Kluyveromyces lactis: one gene and its partner. The protein of the gene in region 1 purifies or fractionates together with the protein of each later gene. This does not show direct contact. Links are inferred from orthologs where the notes say so. Each region holds a gene or a part of one and is shown in the gene's direction. Other genes may lie near its edges.

Evidence for each region.
Region 2: the proteins of RET1 (region 1) and BUD27 purify together in Saccharomyces cerevisiae (affinity purification with mass spectrometry; 3 studies listed by BioGRID). This does not show direct contact. The link is inferred for Kluyveromyces lactis from reciprocal best matches to the Saccharomyces cerevisiae genes RET1 and BUD27.

Annotation. Positions count from the first base shown.
Region 1 is NC_006042.1:97,066-101,338, forward strand, and holds the start of RET1 (DNA-directed RNA polymerase III core subunit RET1), read left to right. Parts: upstream 1-1,265; coding exon 1,266-4,273. Other genes in the region: TFIIH/NER complex subunit TFB2, read right to left, coding at 1-591. UniProt on the Saccharomyces cerevisiae protein: DNA-dependent RNA polymerase catalyzes the transcription of DNA into RNA using the four ribonucleoside triphosphates as substrates. Second largest core component of RNA polymerase III which synthesizes small RNAs, such as 5S rRNA and tRNAs.
Region 2 is NC_006042.1:2,340,255-2,344,322, forward strand, and holds BUD27 (prefoldin-like protein), read left to right. Parts: upstream 1-1,131; coding exon 1,132-3,360; downstream 3,361-4,068. Other genes in the region: EPL1 (Epl1p), read right to left, coding at 1-377. UniProt on the Saccharomyces cerevisiae protein: Involved in gene expression controlled by TOR kinase and nutrient signaling. May also be involved in positioning the proximal bud pole signal.

The DNA of each region.
Region 1 (4,273 bases):
GACATCTTGCAAGAGAAATTGGAAACCTTGGTTAGTAATTTTGAGTTCGCCATATTCTGCCTCTTCCATTAGACCACTATGCTGCAATAAGTCTAGAACCTTTCCACCAGGAGTGTTTGTATTCGGTGTTCCCACCATGTAATGCAAGATTGTTTCCCACTTTTCTGCACTATACTGGTCCAAAGTAGCTGTAGATACGGGATTGGTATCATCATCCGCAACATCACCAAAAGAGTTATTGATTTCACCACCAGTTAATACATTTTTGAAAGATTTCTTGAAAATTGGATTCAAACGAATCAATAGAGGTTGTTTACTCTCACCTTCTATTATAAGATTCAAGGATTTCATCGATTTAATAGAGTATTGTAACTGGTATTTCGCATCTGGCTTGACCCATTTATCTAAATCTCTAAGCGAGACATCGTGGTCCTGAAACAGCATCGACATAATGAAGAATTTTGCCATGGGAGAAAGCAATCTATAAATTGCCAAACATGTCGCTGGAGACTCATATAATCTTGATTGGACTTGCTCTGGAAGACCTTCTAGGTAGTCATTAACGGTGGTCTTGAAAAGATTCAGACTCATAGTATTGAAAATATGCAGCTCAAGGCCTCTTGAAATAGCAAGAGATTAGAACCAAGTGAGGAGATCAACAATTTGGTCACGTCAATCGATAATGTTATTTCAGCCTAATACGATTTGCTGCATTCGAACGATGCAATGCATCCATGATATCCGATTTGGAAAAGCTCATCTGAATCAATAGTACTTAAGGTTGATACCATGTCAAATCCAGACATTCGCATATTGAAAGTAAAATATATGTCACGTGTATATATATCATGTAACACGAAGAAATGTATCTTGCACGTGACTGAAAATTTGTTGATGACAGAAGAAATTTCTTTTCACTCTGTCAGATCAATTTTGGAAAATGAAAAAGATCAAATCAAGCTCATCTCGAATTTGAAATAATCGAAATACGCCAATGATTAATGTAGATGAGCTCTGTCAATATTGATGGAAACAAAGAGAAGTGCATTTATTGGCAGTTAGTGACTGTACTGATTTGCTGACCTCAACAAAGATTTGATTAAGTGAAATTTACTGGTTGGCTCCTTCTTTTTTCACTTTCAGTAGAGTAGCTTTGTTTGGTCTTTTTGCCTCTTTTCTAGATATTTTGTTTGATTAACTGTTTGGAACACTAATTAAGTTTGGAAAGGGTAGCTTTCAAATATCCTGATTGAATATTCTCTAAAATGAACCACACTGACTCCCATAATCCTGATGGCTATGAAAAAGATGAAGCGTTCGATGCTCTTTTGAAACCCGTCTTCAAAGGTAAAAAGCTGACTGACGAGATCAACACTGCCGAAGATAAATGGAATCTTTTGCCTGCCTTTTTAAAGGTGAAAGGGTTAGTAAAGCAGCATTTGGACTCTTTTAATTACTTTGTGGATGTTGATTTGAAGAAGATCATCAAAGCTAATGAGGTTATATTATCTGATGTCGATCCAGAGTTTTACTTGAAGTACATTGACATTAGAGTAGGATACAAACATAACGGCAACAAAGCTATTATGACCCCACCACATGAATGTAGATTACGAGACATGACATACAGTACTCCTATCTTTGTTGATATTGAATACACCAGAGGAAGATCAATTGTGTTGCATAGAGATGTGGAGATCGGTAGAATGCCCATAATGTTGAGATCAAACAAATGTATATTAGATGGTGCAGCAGAAAATGATATGGCCAAATTAAATGAATGTCCCTTAGATCCAGGTGGATATTTCATTGTTAATGGTACTGAAAAAGTCATCTTAGTTCAAGAACAATTATCTAAGAATCGTATCATTGTGGAAGCAGATGAGAAGAAAAACATCGTACAAGCTTCTGTTACATCTTCCACCCACGAAAGAAAATCTAAGACTTACGTAGTCACCAAGAATGATAAAATATACTTAAAACATAACTCTATCGCAGAAGAGGTTCCAATTGTAGTTGTTTTGAAGGCTTGTGGTGTTGTATCTGATTTAGAAATCATGCAGTTAGTTTGTGGTAATGATAGCAGTTATCAAGATATCTTCGCGGTGAATCTCGAAGAAGCTGCCGAACTAAAAATATACACGCAACAACAAGCCTTAGAATTCATTGGTACTAAAGTTAAAACTGTCAGAAGACAGAAACTTTCCATCTTGCAAGAAGGTATCGAGGCCATCGCTACGACAGTCATTGCTCATCTGACAGTGGAAGCTTTAGACTTTAGAGAAAAAGCATTATACATTGCAATGATGACTCGTAGAGTCGTAATGGCTATAGATAACCCAAAGATGGTTGATGACAGAGATTATGTTGGTAACAAGCGTTTAGAATTGGCTGGTCAATTGATGTCATTGTTATTTGAAGATTTATTCAAAAAGTTCAATAATGATTTCAAGGCAAACATCGATAAAGTCTTAAAGAAACCAAATCGTGCTGAAATGTATGATGCCTTACTAACCATTAACGTACATTCCAACAACATTACTACAGGTATGAATCGTGCAATTTCAACTGGTAACTGGTCTTTGAAACGTTTCAAGATGGAAAGAGCAGGTGTTACACATGTCTTATCCAGACTTTCTTATATTTCAGCATTAGGTATGATGACAAGAATATCCTCTCAATTTGAGAAATCTAGAAAAGTTTCAGGTCCTAGAGCCCTACAACCTTCTCAATTTGGTATGTTATGTACCTCAGATACTCCAGAAGGTGAGGCCTGTGGTTTGGTTAAAAATTTGGCATTAATGACCCATATCACCACCGATGATGAAGAAGAGCCTATAAAGAGGATTTGTTACTTGTTGGGTGTGGAAGACATAAGTTTAATTGACAGTGCTTCAATTCATTTAAATTATGGTGTCTACTTAAACGGTACAATCATAGGGACAACTAGATTTCCTACAAAGTTTGTGTCTCAATTCAGATGTTTAAGAAGAACTGGTAGAGCGTCAGAGTTCATCTCTATATATACCAATACACATCAAAAAGCAGTTCATATTGCTACTGATGGAGGAAGAATCTGTAGGCCGTTGATAATTGTTTCGAACGGGCAGTCTTCTGTTACTGCAGACCATTTAAGATCTCTTCTGGCTGGAAAATTACAATTCGATGATTTCTTAAAACTGGGTTTAGTCGAGTATCTCGACGTTAATGAAGAAAACGACTCGTTCATTGCATTATATGAAAAAGATCTATCTGAGAATATTACGCATCTAGAAATTGAATCATTTACTGTCTTAGGTGCAGTTGCTGGTTTGATTCCATATCCTCACCATAATCAGTCTCCACGTAACACTTATCAATGTGCGATGGGTAAGCAGGCTATTGGTGCAATTGCATACAATCAATTCAAAAGAATTGACACCTTATTGTATCTAATGATATACCCTCAACAGCCTATGGTGAAAACCAAAACGATTGAATTGATCGATTACGATAAACTTCCGGCAGGTCAAAATGCTACGGTGGCAGTTATGTCCTACTCCGGTTATGATATCGAGGATGCGTTAGTTTTAAATAAAGCGTCCATTGACAGAGGTTTTGGACGTTGTGAAACTCGTCGTAAGAACACCACCGTGTTGAAGAGATATCCAAATCATACTCAGGATATTATTGGTGGTATGAGAGTTGATGAAAATGGTGAGCCTATATGGCAACACCAAGCATTAGGCCCTGATGGGCTAGGTGAAGTTGGAATGAAGGTTGAAAGTGGACAAATTTATGTCAATAAATCTGTTCCAACTAATGCGTCGGATAGCATTCTAACTCAAACACAAGCTCAGTACAAGGAGACTCCAGTGGTATATAGAGCTCCAGAACCTTCTCATATTGATCAAGTTATGATGTCAGTTTCTGATAATGACCAGGCTTTGATCAAAGTTCTATTGAGACAAAACAGAAGACCTGAATTGGGTGATAAATTCTCATCGAGACATGGTCAAAAGGGTGTCTGTGGTATCATCGTAAAACAAGAAGATCTTCCTTTCAACGATCAAGGTGTAGTACCAGATATTATCATGAACCCACATGGTTTCCCATCTCGTATGACCGTTGGAAAAATGATTGAGTTGATATCAGGTAAAGCTGGTGTCTTGAATGGTACCCTTGAATACGGTACCTGTTTCGGTGGATCTAAGTTAGAAGACATGTCAAAGATTTTAGTCGATAATGGTTTCAACTATTCCGGTAAGGACATGCTTTATTCTGGTATTACTGG
Region 2 (4,068 bases), about 2.2 Mb from region 1:
TACAAAGTACCACAGCAATCTTCTAATTGTGCAGAAAACTGGATATAACTCGTAGGACATTTGAATTCACCTTGGTAAAATCTGTCAAACTCGTCCCAAGTTTTCGAGGCGTCTGGTGTTGGAATAAATAGATCCTTCTTGTTCTCTCGAAGCTGATTGGATTGAAGAATTTTGTATAAATGCTCTTCCTTTTCTTCATTCTTCTCCACACCAGTTTCAATCTCCATCAGCTCTCGCTGTTGATGCTGGGAACTGATGGCCGAAACATCTTCTTGTTCCAAATCCTTAATTTCATGGCTCTTATAGATCCGAAGTCGTTGCTTCACGCTGATCTTTCTGTGCCTGAACCTCGATGAATCCACTGCAGGAGCTGGCATACTGCAATGTGTCAATGCCCGTGTGTAGTTACCCTGATAGCTATGCGGCTGAAGCCAAAGAAGGATCTTTGAATTCCAGATTTCAATAGCGAGAAATATGAAAGGAAGGGTAACTACAATTATCCCTCTAAAAAATTGGTTCTTTTACGGGGGCCCAAATTTATTTTCTTCCTGTTTTCGGGGCCAAATTTTGCGAAAAACTTCACTGGCAAGCAATCGGGTGGCGGTGAAGGAGGCAGAAAACAAGGAGACCAAATCTAAAATAGGACTGAAGATAGCAGCTATTGGTACGGATTTTGCAGAACTGATGAAAGTCCTTAAGTATCACTACTGATGGTTGATTCTCAGTAGGTTTGAACGAGCCACCGGACTGTTCTGAAGCGCGTGGTTTTCCTTTTTATGTTGGTTGTTTGGGTGGAACGCAACAGTTTGTCCGGTGAATGGGGGTATTGGTTTTTTCTATATTGAAATCCGAACTTATGGAAAGAAAAAAAAATTTTTTACGTCTTCTACGGAAATATGAACGTCTCCCATAACCACCTTGGTAGACAATAGGAATTTCTGTTCACGTGACTTCCATTGGGTCAAGGTAAATGGTGATGCCAAAAATTGTATGAGCTTCTACCAAAAAGAAAAAAAAACGGAAATCAGTAACTTGACATCCGTAATGAAGTCATCTCATCGCTTGTTGAAAGAGTGAGTTATCTGAGGCAGGTAAAGAGGCTGAGAAAATCAGTCTTAGTCGTGAAACGCAATGGAAACAGCAGAAGGTGGGGCTTCTTTTGCCGAGTTAATGGATACTGTCAAAGGTACCATAGATAATTTGGTAAACAAAAGAACCTTCTTAAAGGAACAGCAGCCGTTGTATGAACAGATATTCGATAGGATAAGAGATGCTGACACGAGCGAAGATTCGGAAGAAGAATGGCAGTATGGTGAGGTAGTATTTCAGAATGGTAAGTTTTTCCAAAATATAGGTTACGATTACTATTTGGAGAAATCTAGGGAAGAATGCCTGGTTTTTATAAAGGTTCGATTGAACTTAATTGCCGAAGCCATTTCACAATTTGATGAGAAACTGAAAGAGGCACATGGCACATTGCGAAACATGGAGTTACTTCGAGACGGTGCAAAATCTTTGGGAGATACGAATGTTTCTAACAATGATGATGACCAGGAAGGTTTCTTTGAGATCAGAGAAGAATTAGACGAAGACGGAAATGTGATACATGCTTCAATGACGCCCGCCAATAAGGTGCATTCGGGCAAAGGTAATGAAGTCCATAGTGATGAACAACAATTGTCACTGAGTCAGGAACGTCAAAATTGTCTTTCACCAGAGACTGCCTTCAATATTCAGAATGATGATCGCTCTTCCGCTTCAGGAACTTCGGAAACTGGCAATAAGACAGGAGAAATCATGGAAGCAGACAAGAGTACCATGCAAATAGCAAAGGAAAACATGTACACATTCGATGATTTGGTAGATCAGTTAGATAAATTGGATAATTATGAAGATGGCGAAATCGACGTAAATGACGTAGAATACGATTTTGATGGGTATGATGAAGAAAGCGACGATAATGAGGAAGATGAAGATTATTCCGTCTCCATAGTTCCTGAAAGAGTTCAGCATTCCTTTATGGAACAAATACAGGCTTTGAGGGCCAACAAAAAACATGATCTCGTACATACAGAATATCGTAATCATTCCCCTGAGCAAGAAGCTAAGTCCATACTTAAGAAAGGCGGTTCGAAGAAGAAAAGTGTCAACTTTGCGCCAAAGCTAGACGTCTTTGAAGTGGAAAATGTGAAACAGGAAACCAAATCTAACACATTTAATTTCCCTAGAAACAGCTATATGGAGTCAGAAATCATCGCATCTGACGGAGAAGATGTTGAATTTGACCCCGATTTGTTCGCGCAGATGATCGGAGCCAAGGAAGCCGACGTATTGCATGAAAAGTACCAACCTGGTAGCATCAACGGCTTGAAGGAATCTGAAGAGCCAGCACTCGCCGCACCTCGAAAGAAGCGTATCTCAAGGTTTAAAAAGGAAAAAGCCGCCACGGAAAAACGCGAGTTTAATACTAATGATGTTGAAATGTTTGAAAAGGAACCAATTGTAGAGGCTGTGGTAACCGACATAGTTGAGCGTGACGACACATCATCGATTTCAGTTGAAAATACTCCGATTAAAACTGGTTCGCCAAACTTTATTCATAAGAAGATGAAGTCCTTACAAAAACCAAAATCGCTGCCAACTAAGACACCATCAATAATTCCCACTGAAGAAATGAACAAAGATGACAGCGGTGCTGAGGGCGAACAAAACAACTCGTCAATTGCGGAAGTCATGAAGGAGAAGCAAGAACTAGTTGAGCCTCATTTCCCTGCGCAAAAGTCTAATGAAATTCATGTCCAGCCAAGAATCGACTTTGCACAATTGGACAACCTTGATGACATGGCAAGAGCATATCTCCTAGGATTATACGATGACGATGTAGAAGATCCTGGCACAGTATTGCAAGACACTTCTGACTTTGAGGCTTATAACAAGATGGTAGAAACTTTGAAGCCTGAATTAAATCAGTTCTTGAAGGAGAATGCAAGCTATGAATATGACATTGAACTGCCACAAAGTGCAGAATCATCACAGAATAACGAGAGCACTATTATTAACGAAATTAAAGAAAGGGATCCAACGGGCGCTGGAGAACAGCCAGTACAAGACGTTGAGGATCAAATCATATACGCAGAAGTTGAGCGAGAATATATGGAACATCGTCGTCGAAATATTGAAAGATTCGCGGTCGCATCCACCTCATCATCCTCAAACACCGAGCACACCATGGAACTTGAGTTAAATGAAGAGTTAGGTAAAGAACCGATTGATGAATTTGGTAACCCGGTCACGACCAGCCGCTTCAAAGCACAAACGCTTGCTTTGAAGAAACATCATCTATCTCAACAGCATCCATAATATCTGGTATGTAGATATTTCTGTAAAAACTTTGCACGTGATATGAGTTGATAGTTCTGGATTACTTTTAGAGAAGTTTACCACAATTGGTGCCTCTCAATGAAAAGGTGCTCGGACCTTCTTAACACATTTTTTGGGCGGAAAGAAGTTCCATTTTGAACATTTTTACACAGTTACATTGAAATAGCCAAAAAAAAAAAAAAAACGTGACACTCAGCAGCCCGTTCCTGATTCTTGGTTATCTACATTTTCTTCTGTAACTGAGGAATAAAAACCTTGTCTCGAACTACAGAAAATAACGCAGCGTGTTTAAGACAGGTCTGAAGTTTATTTTATACAGAAAATCGAAAAACTCCACAATCAGTCACATCACGTGATTATTCCTGTATATCAAAAACTGAACAGCTTTACAAAACGAAATCACTGTCATTGGTTCGTTTCCTAGCGGACAGTTGCTTGCTCCCTCTGGTACGCATACTAACAGTTTGATATCAGAGAGCTGTATTGGTATATCAACTCAAGTGTCAACTACATCAATCAGGTAATGATGTAACTGTGTCAGTTAAATCCCATCAGCCGCATGACATGAAAAAGCCATTTAGCGGTAGGTAAGCCATATCCTATGGACTGAATAGAAACCTCCCGTCATTACCAACCCGCTTGGAAAAGATTTGTAAAATGATTCCTACTCGTCTCATTTCAGGTGAT